Linked DNA regions of Drosophila melanogaster. The protein of the gene in region 3 interacts with the protein of the main gene of each other region in a pairwise test. Each region holds a gene or a part of one and is shown on either strand. Other genes may lie near its edges.

Region 1 (6,398 bases), on a different chromosome or scaffold from region 3:
TCTCGCTTTTTGTCTTCCGTCGGGTTATCTCGCTGCTGGCGACTCTGGGCGCCTGTTCCGTTATATCGCGTAGAGGGACCTGCCTCAATGTTGCGCGTCAATTTTAGGGAGCCTACACCATAAAAATCGGTGACGGTTGGCCACTTTTTTTGTGGCCCGGCACGTCCCACTTTTTTTTCATCTTGGCCTTCTCGACAGGCCGTTGAGTGGAGTTGGGCGCTCCAAAAGCGCCTGCGCGGAGTGCGCGACGCCTCGCTTTGCAGCTTTGTCGCTCGGCCGCCATTTGCGATTCCCGCTGCTGGTGTCGCCAAATATGAAGCAAGCAGAATGCGGCGCAAGCAGTACGGATATGTTTGTGGATGCTGCTTAGGTGTCTGCAACTTGCCCTTGACAGTTGACTTTAACCCGCTGAGTGCTGTGCGAAGGCAATCCCAATCTTACCTTGTGAATGCAATTAGCAAGGTTCTAAGTTCTAAGTTAAAATGTTTGTAAATTACTTTTTAAGAAATGTGAACAAGTACTACAATGTGTATTTTTGGTGACACATTAACTTTTATTGCATTAAGCATTATCAGGAATAGTGCTTAGAAGTGCCTAAAAGTATGCCCACTTTGTTCTTAGTTGGGAACTGAACTAAGTAAACGTTTTCATTTTCAGTTTCCGATTATATCGAAACTGTAGTAATTTATTAGCCTAAAACGAAGACCTAGTGTTAGGCTTTCTAATATCCCAACTTATAAATATTATTTACATACATATGTACATATGTACATTGTATTTTCATATGTTCAGTGGAGAGATCGAGAGATGCGCTTCTCAAATTCCATTTTTTCCGTTATACCCCGTCTTTCACTGTCCGCCTCCACTATCTCTATCTCTCCGCATTTTCTCTTCTCTGTCCGCCGCACACACTCTCGTTGGCGTCTGTCTGCTGTCATCAGTTGCTGATTACTTGTTCACCAAACCGCAGTTTAGCGCTGGCAATGCCGGCGGCAGCAGACGTAACGACGACGACGGTCGCGTCTGATAGACAGCTGTCTCCAATTGGAATGTTGTCTCCGGTTACGTCAGTCAAAATGACGCATCGTGTTTTGGTAACAGGAAAGCATAAAAGCGAGAAGAGCACCAATGTGCGGCACTCTGCTGCACAATGGCCGCGAAACAAAAGAACAAGGCACGAAGAAAATGTGTAAACCGTTGTGGGGGACGAAGAAAAAGCAGGCACAGACGCTGCGCCGCGTCACGACAACAAAAAAATCCACCCTCGCACAAAGCGCTAATATTTTGTTGGTTTTTCGTTTCGCTTTCAATTAGGCAGAGTGCAGTGTCTGGGCCAAATCTCAAAGGTAAGAGGAAGTGCACAACTTTCAGTGAAGCCAATCTAGGCAAACAAAAAGCCAAACTGTCCGTTTCGATATTTCACTAGAGCGGTATTATGGTTAAAACTATGTTAAAATAGTTCTATACTTAAATCGTAAATCAGTAAAATTTAGATTAGTCAATTTTCGTATAGTAACAATATCAATAATTTTATTGTTTTTAACATTTGGAATATCTTATAAATATGTATATGTATTATCATGTCTATGAATATATTCAGTTCTAACCAGTAAAATATTTGATTACTCCTTACACGTAGACGTAAAGTAATTTAGTATTTTGTTTTAAGTTTCTGTGCCTTTTGTCGGAAGTTCTAGCTAGTTAATTCGCGCATCACTGCCAGCGACGCTAACGCCAACGCGAACGGTTCTTGCCGCCGCTTTCACACAGACGAAAAAGCGCAGTGTGCGTTGGCCAACGCTGTGCGCCTGCTGTTCTGCGGACAAAATTTGAGCAGATCCGCTCACAAAAAAACGTACTTAACTGCGAAATAGTGCTGGTCGTGTAGGTTCCACGTTCCAACCGACTGCAGTGCTTTGGCTCCATGGCACCACGGCTAAATGGCCAAATGGCTCCACTGCTCCGGTGGCTCCAACTGCGGTGGTGCCCATTCCAGTTGGAAATTGCATGCGAGCACATGGGAAAAGTCCCCAACTGGTATTTCGAGCAGGCGCACAGCTTTCCCAACTGCTCACTCTCCCAAAGAGTTCCGTCTCTGTCTCGTTCGCACCGATAAGGAGCCTTTCGAGATAAGCAGCTGGAAAGGGACGGACTGATGGTAGCGGCAAAGCGCAGTGTGCAACGACAGAAAGGGATGCCCAATGATGGTCTAATCGGAGGGGGAATCGCTGATCGCTGATAGTACTGGAATCTGGTTGATATAACCCCAATATTATGTTAAAGAGTGAACTACATTTTTAACTGAGATTTTAGTGAGTTTCCGGCCTTTAAGGGGTGTATTTTTACGATAATAAAAGTTTGTTAGATCGCATATTGTTTTAAATATTTCATATATGTTATTTTATTTTAACGAATTTATACAATTGACTTCAAAAATATCTGTGCACCATTCCATAAAATGTAAACCGAATTAATATGTTGAAAATTACTCTCGTATTAACTCTTTTTTGGGAATTGATAATTCATTTGCGATACGATATGAGTTCTATATAAGGCTTAAGCTTTGGGGCCAATACTTCAGTCGTGCGGCAAACGCAAAGCTGAAAAGTATTCTAGTTCTATAGATCTCACGGTAAGAGAAAGTATAAAGTCTAAATAAGAGAACATAAAAATGAAATCGGATTGCGAGCTTTTATTGCATAGCCAATGGAAAAAAGTTTTAGTTAAATTTTCACGTCGGGTGCGTTTGGAGGCAGAGTGTAGCATAGTGTAAAGAACAAATTAATAATAATATAATAAAGTAGTTCTCTTGTGACATTTGGTGTCGTAAACAGTTTGGTTAAGAGAGTTTTTAAGAGTGACGGTTTGTTCTTTGGTGACATTGAGTGTAATTAATATCAAAATATTACTGTGGGTTTTTCCATTCCCTCCCACAAACAAACAAACAATGCTAAAAAACCATCAAATTGTCAAAAGTGTTGAGTGGAATGAGTCGTGGAAAAATGATTAGATGCGAACATATCTGAAAGTTTTTGCTCGCGGAATTTCGCCATAAAAATCTCGTGCGTCTGTGCGGAGATAGCGACCGTATAACCGCGAAATTTAAGTACTTTAAAAAACATGGGAGATAGATGTATTTTAGCTACTCGAAATTATTGACCGCAGTATATAATCGTATTTCCACTGAAATAATTGTCTCTGTTTTTTAGCCAAAATAATTGGCTCTTAGTCTTTGATAAATTCATCTATGTTTCGTAATTTTTTCATTACGCTCCACATGTTAAGTAAAATTAAACTTAATTTTAGAATGTTTATTTTTGCCAAATGTTATTGTTATTAACCCAGAAATAATCTTGCACCGTTCCTGATTATTGAATCCACTTCGATAAAACTCCAATATTATACCTTAGTTCTCGAACCAGCAAACCAGTTGTGCGTCTTATACATACGCCGTAGGAGAGACTGAGACTCACATCAGCTGCTCGGCGGCTTGAACGCCTACAGACATACATACATACGTACATACATATATAGGGAGAGATTTAGAGCGCGGATTATAATGCTAAACAGGTTCATTGGTTTATCGGCTGCGATCGTGGGTCGGAGCAGTCGGATCAGCGGCTTTCCGTTCTCGCCGCTCCTTAAAGCTGGGTGCGTATGCCGCTTGAGAGTTCAGTCGCTCGCGAAACACGACTTCGATCGCAATACTTCGAGATGAGATCGATTGCCACCAACTCCCTGCTGCCACTGATTGTGGCCTTGCTGATCGCCGGTAGTAATGCCTCCCTCCCACGCAGGGGCAGCAGAAATCAAAGCCAGAATCGCACCATGTCCGCTGGCAAGGCTTTCAAGGTCCTGGTGACACATCCCGAGGTTCCCCAGGAGGGCATTGATCTGCTGAAGGAGAACTGCGAGATCGTCCAGGTGCAGAGTGTTCCCATCAACCGGGCGGAGCTGCTGGAGAAAATCCGTGGCGTGGATGGCGTTCTCTGGGGTGGACACGAACCCCTCAATGCCGAGGCCCTCGATGCTGCCGGTCCCCAGCTGAAATCCATCTCCACCATGTCGGCGGGAATCGACTACGTCGATGTGCCGGAGGTAAAGAGACGTAAGATCCCGCTGGGACACACGCCCACCGTTCTCAACACCGCCGTGGCCGATTTGGCAGTGGGTCTCCTGATCGCCGCCAGTCGCCGTTTTCACGAGGGTCGCAAGACCATCGACAAGTGAGTACCACTAGTTGGTTAGTTGTGTTTGTGATGATTCATATACTTACAGAATTAATTTGAGCAATGACAAAAATAGAGTAAACCGAAATTATAATTGTCATAATTATTATTATAATTAAGCTAAACTAGGGACACTTTATTTTCAACTTAGTGTGGCCGTGAAATGTATACGCATGAATTCTCGATTAAAATTGCAAGCCGGTTCTTAAGAATACCGCCTGTCCGCTCGTCTGTCGCTTGCACTTTTGCTCTATAGCGCTCACAAGTGGACAAAGCATTATCATCAATAGGTTTTGGCTCCTCACATGCATAATGTAAAATTCTAAAGTATTGACTTTCGATTTATCTACAAACAAAAGGTACGAGCAGTTTATGTAACCGCCGCTAGGTGGCGGTGCAATAAAAAAAAGTTTTTTTTATCTTCATCTTAGCTTAGTAACAGGCATTTATCAGTATCTCGAGTATCTACAAGTATATTATATATTTTGGAAATATTCATATATCTTTCAATTTCTTAATTTGTATCTTTTGCGTTCTAAAAGTGACAAGTGGGAAAACTACCATCTTAACTGGCTGTTGGGCCAGGATATTCGTGATTCCACCGTGGGATTCTACGGCTTTGGAGGCATTGGTCAGGCTATTGCCAAGCGTTTGTCTGGATTCGACATTGACAAGGTGCTGTACACCACCCGTCGTCGTGTTCACAAGGAGATCGAGGAGGAGTTCAATGCCAAGAAAGTTGACTTCGATACCCTTCTGGCCGAGAGTGACTTCGTAGTGATCGCTTCTCCTTTGACGAAGGACACACAGGGCGTCTTTAATGCCACCGCCTTCAACAAGATGAAGCAGACTGCTGTGCTGGTTAACATTGCCAGGGGCAGTAAGTTACCAGTATTAATTGGGATTCTCGACCGATTTTAACTATTTATTTTATTCCTCAGAAATCGTCAACCAGGATGACCTCTACGAGGCTTTGAAAGCCAACCGAATCTTTTCCGCCGGACTCGACGTCACGGATCCGGAACCATTGTCGCCCAAGGACAAGCTGCTGACGCTTGACAATGTTGGTGAGTGGGAAAATGAAAATAATGTTGTAGTTTATTGATATCAGTCCTCAGGCCCACACCTAGCAAATACTCGTATTTCTGGCCCCTTATCAATATAAAGATTTTGACTTATCTCTTCAGTGGTTGACAATGACTAAAAGTATTTTGAAATTAATGGAATCTTTAAGGTTTCTTGAAGGTTACAAATAAATAGGGTAACGTTTATTCTTTCCATGTTTTATCTAATTTCTGCGTCCTTGTTGACCTCTATAATTCCCTTCTTTTGTTGATTTATTAAAACATTGTTATCTTGGTTTGTGTAATCGTATCTTGAACTAACCACTTGATGTGTTCTTTTAGTTGTCCTGCCCCATATTGGATCCGCCACGAAGCGCACCCGTGCCGACATGTCCACCATTGCTGCCCATAATGTGCTCCGCGGTTTGGCTGGGGAGCCCATGTTGTCGCCCGCCTACTAGTAAATTCAAATGGGAAATATGGCTTTCTACCGCTAACCAGTTTGGAATGTCCGCCAAACAAAGTGCGAAAGGCCGCCGATGACCTTGGCATGCCAGTAGATGTGAAAATAAAAAAAACAATTAAAAAACAAGTATTTGCTGTTGCAAATTTATTAAATTAAATATGTGGGAATCTAATCTATACCGTAAGATTAGCTCAACTGATTAATATGGAATAGGTAAAGCAATAGAATAATTGGTGCTAGAGAATGAGAAACATAATTTAAATACTAATATAGTATATCGTAGGAAATAATATTGTACGTTTTAAGAAATGAGAGCAGAAAACATTGATTTAGTAATTCGCAAAGTTTAGCTCTGCACAATTGCAAAACCTACCACTTTTCCCCAAAATGTATCGAGGACCTTCAAACTGCTGATTTCGCATCCAAAAGTCCCAGGAACGGCTGCGGGAGCTTGTCGGATCAGGATCGGAATAGGATCATCGCTTCTTAAAACTGGGTGCTTATGCCGCTTGAGAGTTCGCTCGCGAAACCCGACTTCGGTTGTAGTTTTTCAACCTGCTCCCACTGATTATGGCTTTGCTGATCGAATATAATAATTGAAGGCCCCTGGGCATGGCCCGTTGGTTTCAAGGTGCTGGG
Region 2 (3,691 bases), 8.9 Mb from region 3:
TGCTATCCAGCTCCCCATCCGTCTGATTCGATTGGTCCCTTGAGAGATTGAGGCTCTGAGCCAGGCGTTGCTTCTCCGCCAGAAAGAAGTCTTTTCCCTTGCGGTACGAACGACGAAGGGCATTCTTCAGTAGGCGGTAGCGAGCGAGAGCGCTGACTGACATCAGCTGGCTGTCACTGGGATTGGGCATCGTCTGCATCAGCTCACCCAAACTGCTGCTGTTGTGCAGGACAGTGGGATCCACTGCCTGCGAGGCCTGCGCCTGCTGTGGCGTTGTGGGGCAACTGATGCTCAGATTGTTACCAAAATGGCGCAGCGACGTGGCTTGGCCATCATTAATTTCTATGGTCAAATTGGAAGCGGGCTGAAAGATCAATCATTACTCAGTTTCAACAACAATCTTATATTTGAAGTGCGTTTCAGAAAGCGATGGATGAGTACAGTGTGGTAGTGGCTATTTACAGAATGTACAGTGTCAGAAATCAGATGCAAGCGGAAGCCTTAAGCTTTAGTGGGAGTCAACAAAAATCTCTACCTTGGTTGTAAAGCGCTGGCTCTGCTTCTTTTTCGGCGTACTCTGGTTGGCCGGCTCAGGTTCAATTTGCCCGGAGCCGTAATCGTTGGTCACGAAGGAGCTGCCGGCGCTGCCCGCTCCAACCAAACTGTAATCTGCGTAGAGCTGCTCGGGCATGTCATACGAAACGGAATCCATATTGGAAGTATTCTGTAATGGGCTTTGGCTTAGAAATGTGACAAATTGTAAAAACTGCAATGGCACTTACATTGGGCACCTTTTCTGGGCGATCCAACACCAGTTCACTGCGGCAGAGATTGTCCAAGAAGATCTCGCTGCGCTGCAGAGAGAGTTCTGAACGAGAAAGATTCCGGTTCTGCTTGGGCGGCGAATGCTGCTCACTGATATTGTTCAAGGATTGGTGGGCATGTGGCGAAGGCAACTTTAACTTCGGCTGGCGAATCACAGAGGACTCAGTGGTCTGACTAGCTGAGCACGAGGATTCCGTTCCACTCGGCTCCTCGGGCAGAGGCATGAACTGGAAGAAGTTGCCGTTCTTCAGGGATTCGTGGAGAAAGTGACCCAAAGCTACAGGCTGCTGAGGAGCAGTTGATTGTGGTGAAACCATCTGGGTGCTTAGCTGCGCTGGATTCGACTGGGTGCAGCTTTTAGGTTGTACCGCCTGATCAAGAACAATATGTGTTGTTATAGGCGGCGAAAAGGAATGAGTACTTTTCTGTGGCTGAATAGCTTGGAAACTAATCTGAGGCTTATCCACTGGCTTCATTTGCGGTGAGTTCTTCGGCGTCTTTTGCACCCTGGCGTACATGGCACTGATGTCATCGCGCGAGGTCGACGGAGCAGGCACAGACCCACTCACATACGCGGTGGAGCTTTCCGTAGGAGTCGGCGTGTGGTCTATAATCTGTGCCGCGGTCCTAACCTCGTGGTGGGGACTCCCTCTAATCCGCAGGCAGTCTTCCTCAATCTCCGAGTAAATGGGCTCGCTGTCGAAATCGCGCTGTTGCCGTGTGGTGGCCAACGATGTGGTTGCACCACTGCTGGGTCCGTCTGTGCAGTCGTAGCTCTCGGTTTGAAGATGGCTGATCTGAGGCTCATGGCGGTCAAAGCGGGAGCAGTCCTGCAATCGATTGAAATTATACTCTTATTATTGAAATACAAACCATATTAACGATATATTTATAAAAGAAGAGCCTTATTACTTGGATCAATAAACCAATGATTAACTAAATCTATTTGACCAGAAAGTTAGTAAGAACGAATCTTGCAATGCTACTTCGAGATACACTTTTTTAAATTTCGATAGACCGAGTACCGCCCCGTTATCGATATCAGCTGCAATGCAGCCCAGCGAAGGAAGGCGCAAAACAAGAAGTGAAAACAGCTGACAGCAGCAGATTTCTTTCCTCCACTCGGAAATTCAGACGCCATCCAAAAACACTAAAGAAACAAGAGGCTTTCAAGGGGACCAGGAGCTCGGGCTTATGGGGAGGCGCACCTGGTGAGATGTACAGGTCTCTGCTGCACAACGTTTCACTCAAGGCGACATCAAGGATTATCAGGCGCAGCGTGAGCAGCCAGGCAAAAGGAGCCAGCGGAAAGCGCAAACAAAAAGCGAAGGAGATGGAGTCGAGCCACGATCGGAATAGACGCTGGACGTCATTGGGGAATCAGGCTGAGGGTCGAGACCCGCACAAGTGCTCCTCCTTCAAGGTTGTCTCATATAACATCCTGGCCCAGGATCTGCTTCTGGAGCACCTCTTCCTGTACGTGGGAATCCCGCATGAGTTCCTCAGCTGGCAACGCCGCCAGCAGAACCTTCTCAGGGAACTGCTCAAACTGGATCCGGACATACTGTGCCTGCAGGAGATGCAGTTCGACCACCTTCCAGTGCTCGTCCAACGACTGCGTATGGGCAACGGCAAGAAGTTGGCTTATGTGTACAAAAAGAAGACCGGCTGTCGAACGGACGGATGCGCTATTGTCTACGACTCCTCAAAGTTTGAGTTGCTAGACCACCAAGCAGTGGAGCTGTACGACCAGGCGGTGGCTCTACTCAATCGCGACAATGTGGCCTTGTTTGCCAGGTTCCGATTCAAAAAGCAGCAGGAGCAGCAGAAGGAATTCGTGGTCGCCACCACGCACTTGCTGTTCAACACGAAACGGAGCGATGTCCGTTGCGCCCAGGTGGAAAGAATTTTGGAGGAGCTGCAGTCGTTCTCCACCGACACACCTATCGTCCTGACTGGTGACTTTAACAGTCTGCCCGACTCCTCGCCTATTGAATTCCTCGTTGGCAAGAATGGGGATGTGGATTCCACAGCTTGCCCAGAACCCCTGCATTTCGAGATCATCGATTCGGGCGAAGGTACTGCCTCCACATACCAGAACGAATGGGTTATCGTGGACTACATCCTGCGCTCGCTAGGATCGCGGAGCAGGCACAAGCTCTTGCCTCTCAGCGTCTACTCACTGCCCTCAATCAACCGGTGCATCGGGGCGGGACAGATCCCCAATTACCGTCTGGGGTCGGATCACTACGCCTTGGGTGCAGTATTCACCGTTGTCTAGTATTTAATCTCTTCATGCTTTCTTGGACTCATCAATAAAGGTACGAAATGAACATGCCCACTTATTATAAAGTAAAAGATTAAGGGAAGGGACTCACCTGAAAGGTTCTAACTGCGTGCTCATCGCTAGCCTCCAGCTTGGCCCTGATGCTGCTGAGCAGATAGCCCATTTTAGTGATGGTGACGTCCTGGTCGAGATCCTTGTGATACGAGCGATAGGTGGTGGGTGATGTTGCTGCTGCTTGAAAGTCCAGCTTGCGGGCTCTGTTTGCACGGGGCAGCTTCTTCGGAGGCGTCGGTGCCTTCACCTTGCGTTCGAAATCGAAGTACGGCTGCTCTGTGTCCAGCTGTTGGCGGGTGGATGTGGTCGTACCCGAGGGCGTGGTCTGCATGGGGGAGTGGTAGCTTCCCGGCGGAGACTGTGACTGCAGGTCCAGCTGCGAGGTAGATGTCTGTACGCCAATGGTGCACTGCTGGGGAGTGAATCTGTGCTGATCCAGCTGCGTGTGCACCTCCTGATTAGACTTCTTCGGCGAGACGAAGCGCAGGATCTTCTTTTTGGAGTTGTTCAGAAAGTTCTTGGACT
Region 3 (4,751 bases):
ATTTTTTAGCTGATTTTTTAATAGCATTTTAGATAATATACAATAGGTTTATAAACTATTTACAAGCACAACCACTGGTTGGGGAAAATTCTGTACCTATCCTGCACTATTTTTATCTATAGTTTTTTTTTTCAAGACGATTTACTGCCTTGCTATAACTAGAGTTTCTACTTTTTCCGCGCCAAAGTGGAGGAGCCTGTACCGATGACCCGTGGATTTATCGCGATGGCATCGGGCACTGATCCGTGCTCGGTTTCTACGGCACGGAGCACGCGTGGCAGTGGATTTCGATTGTGAAGGGCGTGCGTGAGATTTCGGATCCCGAACTTACCGTTACTGCTGCTGGAGTGGAGACATCGGTGCCGTAGCAGGGATCCGGTTCCAGTTTTGCCGCTGTAGGATAACAGATCGCCACAGGTTTTGCAGCAGGCGTACGGCTCTATGTGGTCGTCGCACTGGACGAGATTGAAAAACCTCCAGACGCAGCTTTTGGTGTTCCTGGGCTCAACGAGTTTGCAACGCTTGTCCCCGGATTTTAGTAGGCTACGAAGCTCTGATTTCTTTTCAACATGCATCGTGGTGTATCGGTTGTTCGATTTGCGGTGGTAATTCGGTTTGCCAAGAAGAAAACAAACCCAAATTACAAAATGTACACAAATACAAACTCACGAAAATTCAGTCACGCACAAAACTGTGTTGGTAAACAAGCGCTAGCACGGTGCGAAAAGTGTAAGGTGGTGTAAACAGCCACTGATTTTCTTAAAAAGAACTTGATTGTAAGTTTAATTTTTTTTGAATTTTATTTGTTTCTTATGTTTTTTGAATATTTTCTTTTAGTTTAAAACCTAAAATTCTCATATGACTAGCGATTCCGATTACCCATAGTAAACAGTCTATCGATAAACTCAATTGAGTTGACTATTGTATATTGAATCAGTAGAATCTTTTTATTTAAATGGGTAAAGTTTCGATGGCTTTCCTACAGCCAGGACAATATCAAGGCCCAATTGAACGCCGGAGTCCGGCAATTCAACAAGAAGCGCAGTCGCGGCAAAGTCTGGAATGTCTTCTCCAGAATCGAGCTTGGTCAAATAACATGGATGCACTTCACACATGGAGCGGCACAAGTGCTACAGAACCTATGTCATATATCCAACATCAGAGGATGAAGAGGATTCCCACTGGAATCCGGACGTTTCCAGTGCGGACAAGGCTACAGATAAGATAACCGAGGCCCTGATGGATTGGTGCGTCGTGGTTAGTGCGCGGGACATCGAAACGCACTACGATTTCTTCTTGGTCTTTGTCGCCTTGGACAGCCAGGAGGATAAGATTATCAAAGAAATTCAAGGCTACCAGGCAATACAGATGCCTGCATGTGGATTAGCTGCACCGAAAGATGTTGCCCAACCAATATGAATAAAAGAATCGATTCTTAGCTCTAGCTTACCAAATTGTAGGTTTTCCTAGAATTCCTGTTAATTTAAAACTATTAATGATCCACAATGTCGATACACAAAAAAATTTGAAAAATTAAAATTTTGAATAAAGAAAACAATACGAACATTTAAAGTTTTGTCAATATTACCGTTTTCAAGAAATCCGCCATAAATTAAAACCCCAGAGTTGCAAATTCAAAAAGCTAATATTTTCGTTATATGCATTTATATACGTTGGTATTTTATGTGGAGTTTTAGAGTTGGCACAGAGAGTATATTTATCGGATTGCTCCACGGTCACACTGTCTCTTAATTTTTTCGCCGTCGCCGTCGTTTGTTTTTGGAAATGTCAATTGTTGTGAATATATCTGCTTAATTGTAAAAAAACGCCCAATCGGAAAAAGCACAAATATACGCAAAAAAATTTGCGAACAAGCAGCAAAAGTAAATGTCATTTAAAACAGTGCAAAATTAATACAAAGAAAAATGCTACATTTTGTTGCGTCTGCTCCTGCTTTGTGTGTGTGTGTGTTTTTGTGTATGTGTGCGCGTTGTTAAATAAATGAATTAAAAGACAGAGTTACACATTTTAAATGCGAAATAATGAAAAACGAGCTCATCCAGTGCTCTCTCTTTCTCGCCCTCTCATTTTTACTGTTACTAAAAAGAAGTACTCCAATTCACGCACATGCATACATACGTAAGCCCAGTGAAAAGCGAAAACAATAAGAAGAAAATATAGTTGGAAATCCGCTGCGGTTGGCAATTAAACATATCGGTTGGGAAAATCGGTGAAAAATTATAGCTGTGCTGCAGTATGTATAGGCGTATGTAAATATGAAATATGTAAAGGCAGCAACAGCAAGCAGAGCAGCATATACACACATGGAGAAATCGCCCAAAAAACTTTCTGCGCAAGCTGCGGAGAGCGCGTGCGAGAGGGAGATAGAGTGACGGAGAGTGCGAGAGCGAGCGCGATTGATTCGTTGGTGCAAATTTTATGTTAATAAAAAAGTAGTGCTCGCAGCAAATGGTAGTTCAAAAAAGCTAAATAAATAAGAAAACTAACTATATAGTTTACAATTCCGAATAGTCAGTGTTTGAAACGCGTAGAGAATACCGAGTTGAGCCTCTCCTTCTCTCAATTTTCATCTGTTACATCTTTTGTTGCTTGGAAAAATCCGTGTATGTACGCGTTAGTGTGTGTGCGCGAAGTTTTCCACTGTGTTTGTCTACACGCCCACATGAAAAGCGCCGTGTTTGTGTATTTGGGGAAAAGTAAAAGTGATTCTCGATTTATAAACGCGAAACCCGAAATTAATTATTCACCTTCGCCCACCTTCAATTTTAGTGAATGAATAGAACCCCCCCAACTCTTTGCAAAGCCCCGCCCCCAAAATTGTGCCAAAACGCAAGAGACGCAGAGAAACGAAAAGAGGAAGAGTACTGGAGATCGGCGAGATATTGCAAGTCGGATAACAACAGCAAAAACAACTACGTGGGATTGGATCGCCTAAGCAACTATTTGACTATCTTCTGGTGTTGTTGTTGTCGCTCGATTACACTTTTTTCGTTGAAAACGTTTGTGCAGCAGCAGCTCTGAATGTCTTTATGCTTTAATCATGGTGTATTTCGCCACCAACAACAACAACACCGACACTACACGCTGCTATATTAGAATCTTTCTGATAACGAACCATGACAGAAGGACATGAAAGGTGAGTTCCTCGCAATTACAACAACTTCAAATAGATTGATAGATCTGTAGATCTTGGTGAAGGAGATACAAATATTTACAGGATAGAATTCTTTATTATCTGGACCAAAATAGGGTCTCAGTTTCTATCTATAATAATATTATAAATAATATAAATAAGTGTGGTTAAAAGTGTCTTTAAAACTTAAAATATTATCAAGGATTTAAAGAGCTTTAAATTGAATTCAGATAGTTGTGACTCGCGCGTTAAAAAGAGAAAGCTAACTAGCATACAAATTTTAGATTACTGTATTTTTAAAAAAAACTTAACGTCATATCCCGGATATCATGTATCATACATACTTGATAAAAAAATTTGCAGAAATTTTTAAAATTGCTATCATGGTTGGCTAACACAAGTCTTAAATTTTTAGAGTCTGTTGAAAGTTATTAATCATATTAAGTTTTTTAATTTATTTATCTATTTTCTAGGAATTTAAATTATTTAAAAAAAATATTAAGACGTTCTGTGGCTTTAAGTATTTAAAAATAGCTTGTGTGTTCTTTTACACATTTGAATTAAGTAGGCAACTAGTGACGAAGCGCGCCACTTCAGCTGGCTTGCACTCATTTCTGGGTCTTTTGCGCATTTCATGTGCTGCAATTATTTGGCGTGCCTCGATTAATTGGCATCAATTGAAAGCCGATTGTTGGAAGTCAATTTCAATTTGCGAAGCGCTTTTAAATTGAGTCGACGGGCTCTTTTCCTCAATGGACAGCCAACCGACAGTCGTCGAATGAATGAAGGAAGCGTGACTCATTTGTCTGGGCGAACTGAAGTCTCCGCATTGTCTGTCGACACTTTTAATGAATGAAATGGAACGCCCCCATGTGTGGTTTCTTTTTCCGTTCGCCTCTGGGCCCAATAATTGCCGTTGTTACGACTACTCACGTATTATTGCCTCGCGCCACTGGCGCTCTTTAAATTCTATTCGAAAATGATGTCAATTTGTGTTTGTCCGTTGTTCGTTGTTTGTTTCGTCCGCGGTTCGTTTATTTCTTTTGGCAAATGCCTGCGCAACAAGAACAAAAAGGGGCATGGGGGGGGGGGTCACCCAAGGTTTCAATAGTTTCATTCATGTCTTGCTCTTTATTCCGTCCTCATAATGAATTGATATGCGGCATGCCCCCGCACACAAAGTCGCTTAATGGGTGCCCACAACTAGTCCGATGTGCGAAAACTAGCAGGGAGATCAATGATATCAGCGATTTGACCTCCATATAATCAATTTAATTCCAACGAGCTTACGAACGATTGGAGATCTTAGAATAACTTTAAATATATATTTTAAGAGTGTTTTTGTTCTAGAAAGGTAACTCACATCCACCACTTTTTACCTTTGATGGTTAAACTTTCCCATTAACAATCGCTCAATTTTCAAAAACAGGCTTACGTTTTGCAATAATAATATTTTTCTGATTTTATACATTTTAAATGGCCTGCATGAAATATTTACAAAGTATATTTCATTGCTGTGCAGATCTTGAGATCGCAAATATTTTTTTACTTATATATGCAGAACGTCGCCATAAAGTAGGCAACTATATTTTGTAAA

Evidence for each region. The genes of interacting proteins can lie anywhere in the genome.
Region 1: the proteins of Spred (region 3) and CG9331 interact in a two-hybrid assay, tested with the Drosophila melanogaster proteins (one large-scale study listed by BioGRID).
Region 2: the proteins of Spred (region 3) and angel interact in a two-hybrid assay, tested with the Drosophila melanogaster proteins (one large-scale study listed by BioGRID).

What each region holds. Positions count from the first base shown.
Region 1 is NT_033779.5:20,821,862-20,828,259, forward strand, and holds CG9331 (uncharacterized protein), read left to right. Parts: upstream 1-1,780; 5' UTR 1,781-2,254; intron 2,255-2,572; exon of another isoform or gene 2,573-2,863; intron 2,864-3,410; 5' UTR 3,411-3,559; coding exon 3,560-3,651; exon of another isoform or gene 3,652-3,714; coding exon of another isoform or gene 3,715-3,806; coding exon 3,807-4,226; intron 4,227-4,771; coding exon 4,772-5,109; intron 5,110-5,170; coding exon 5,171-5,296; intron 5,297-5,635; coding exon 5,636-5,754; 3' UTR 5,755-5,863; downstream 5,864-6,398.
Region 2 is NT_033778.4:23,692,077-23,695,767, forward strand, and holds angel (angel), read left to right. Parts: upstream 1-1,926; 5' UTR 1,927-2,041; coding exon 2,042-3,106; 3' UTR 3,107-3,156; downstream 3,157-3,691. Other genes in the region: CG30183 (uncharacterized protein), read right to left, coding at 1-364, 536-724, 783-1,655, 3,204-3,691.
Region 3 is NT_033778.4:14,766,410-14,771,160, reverse strand, and holds the start of Spred (Sprouty-related protein with EVH-1 domain), read left to right. Parts: upstream 1-1,737; 5' UTR 1,738-1,883; intron 1,884-2,790; 5' UTR 2,791-3,137; coding exon 3,138-3,157; intron 3,158-4,751. Other genes in the region: BEAF-32 (boundary element-associated factor of 32kD), read right to left, coding at 332-575.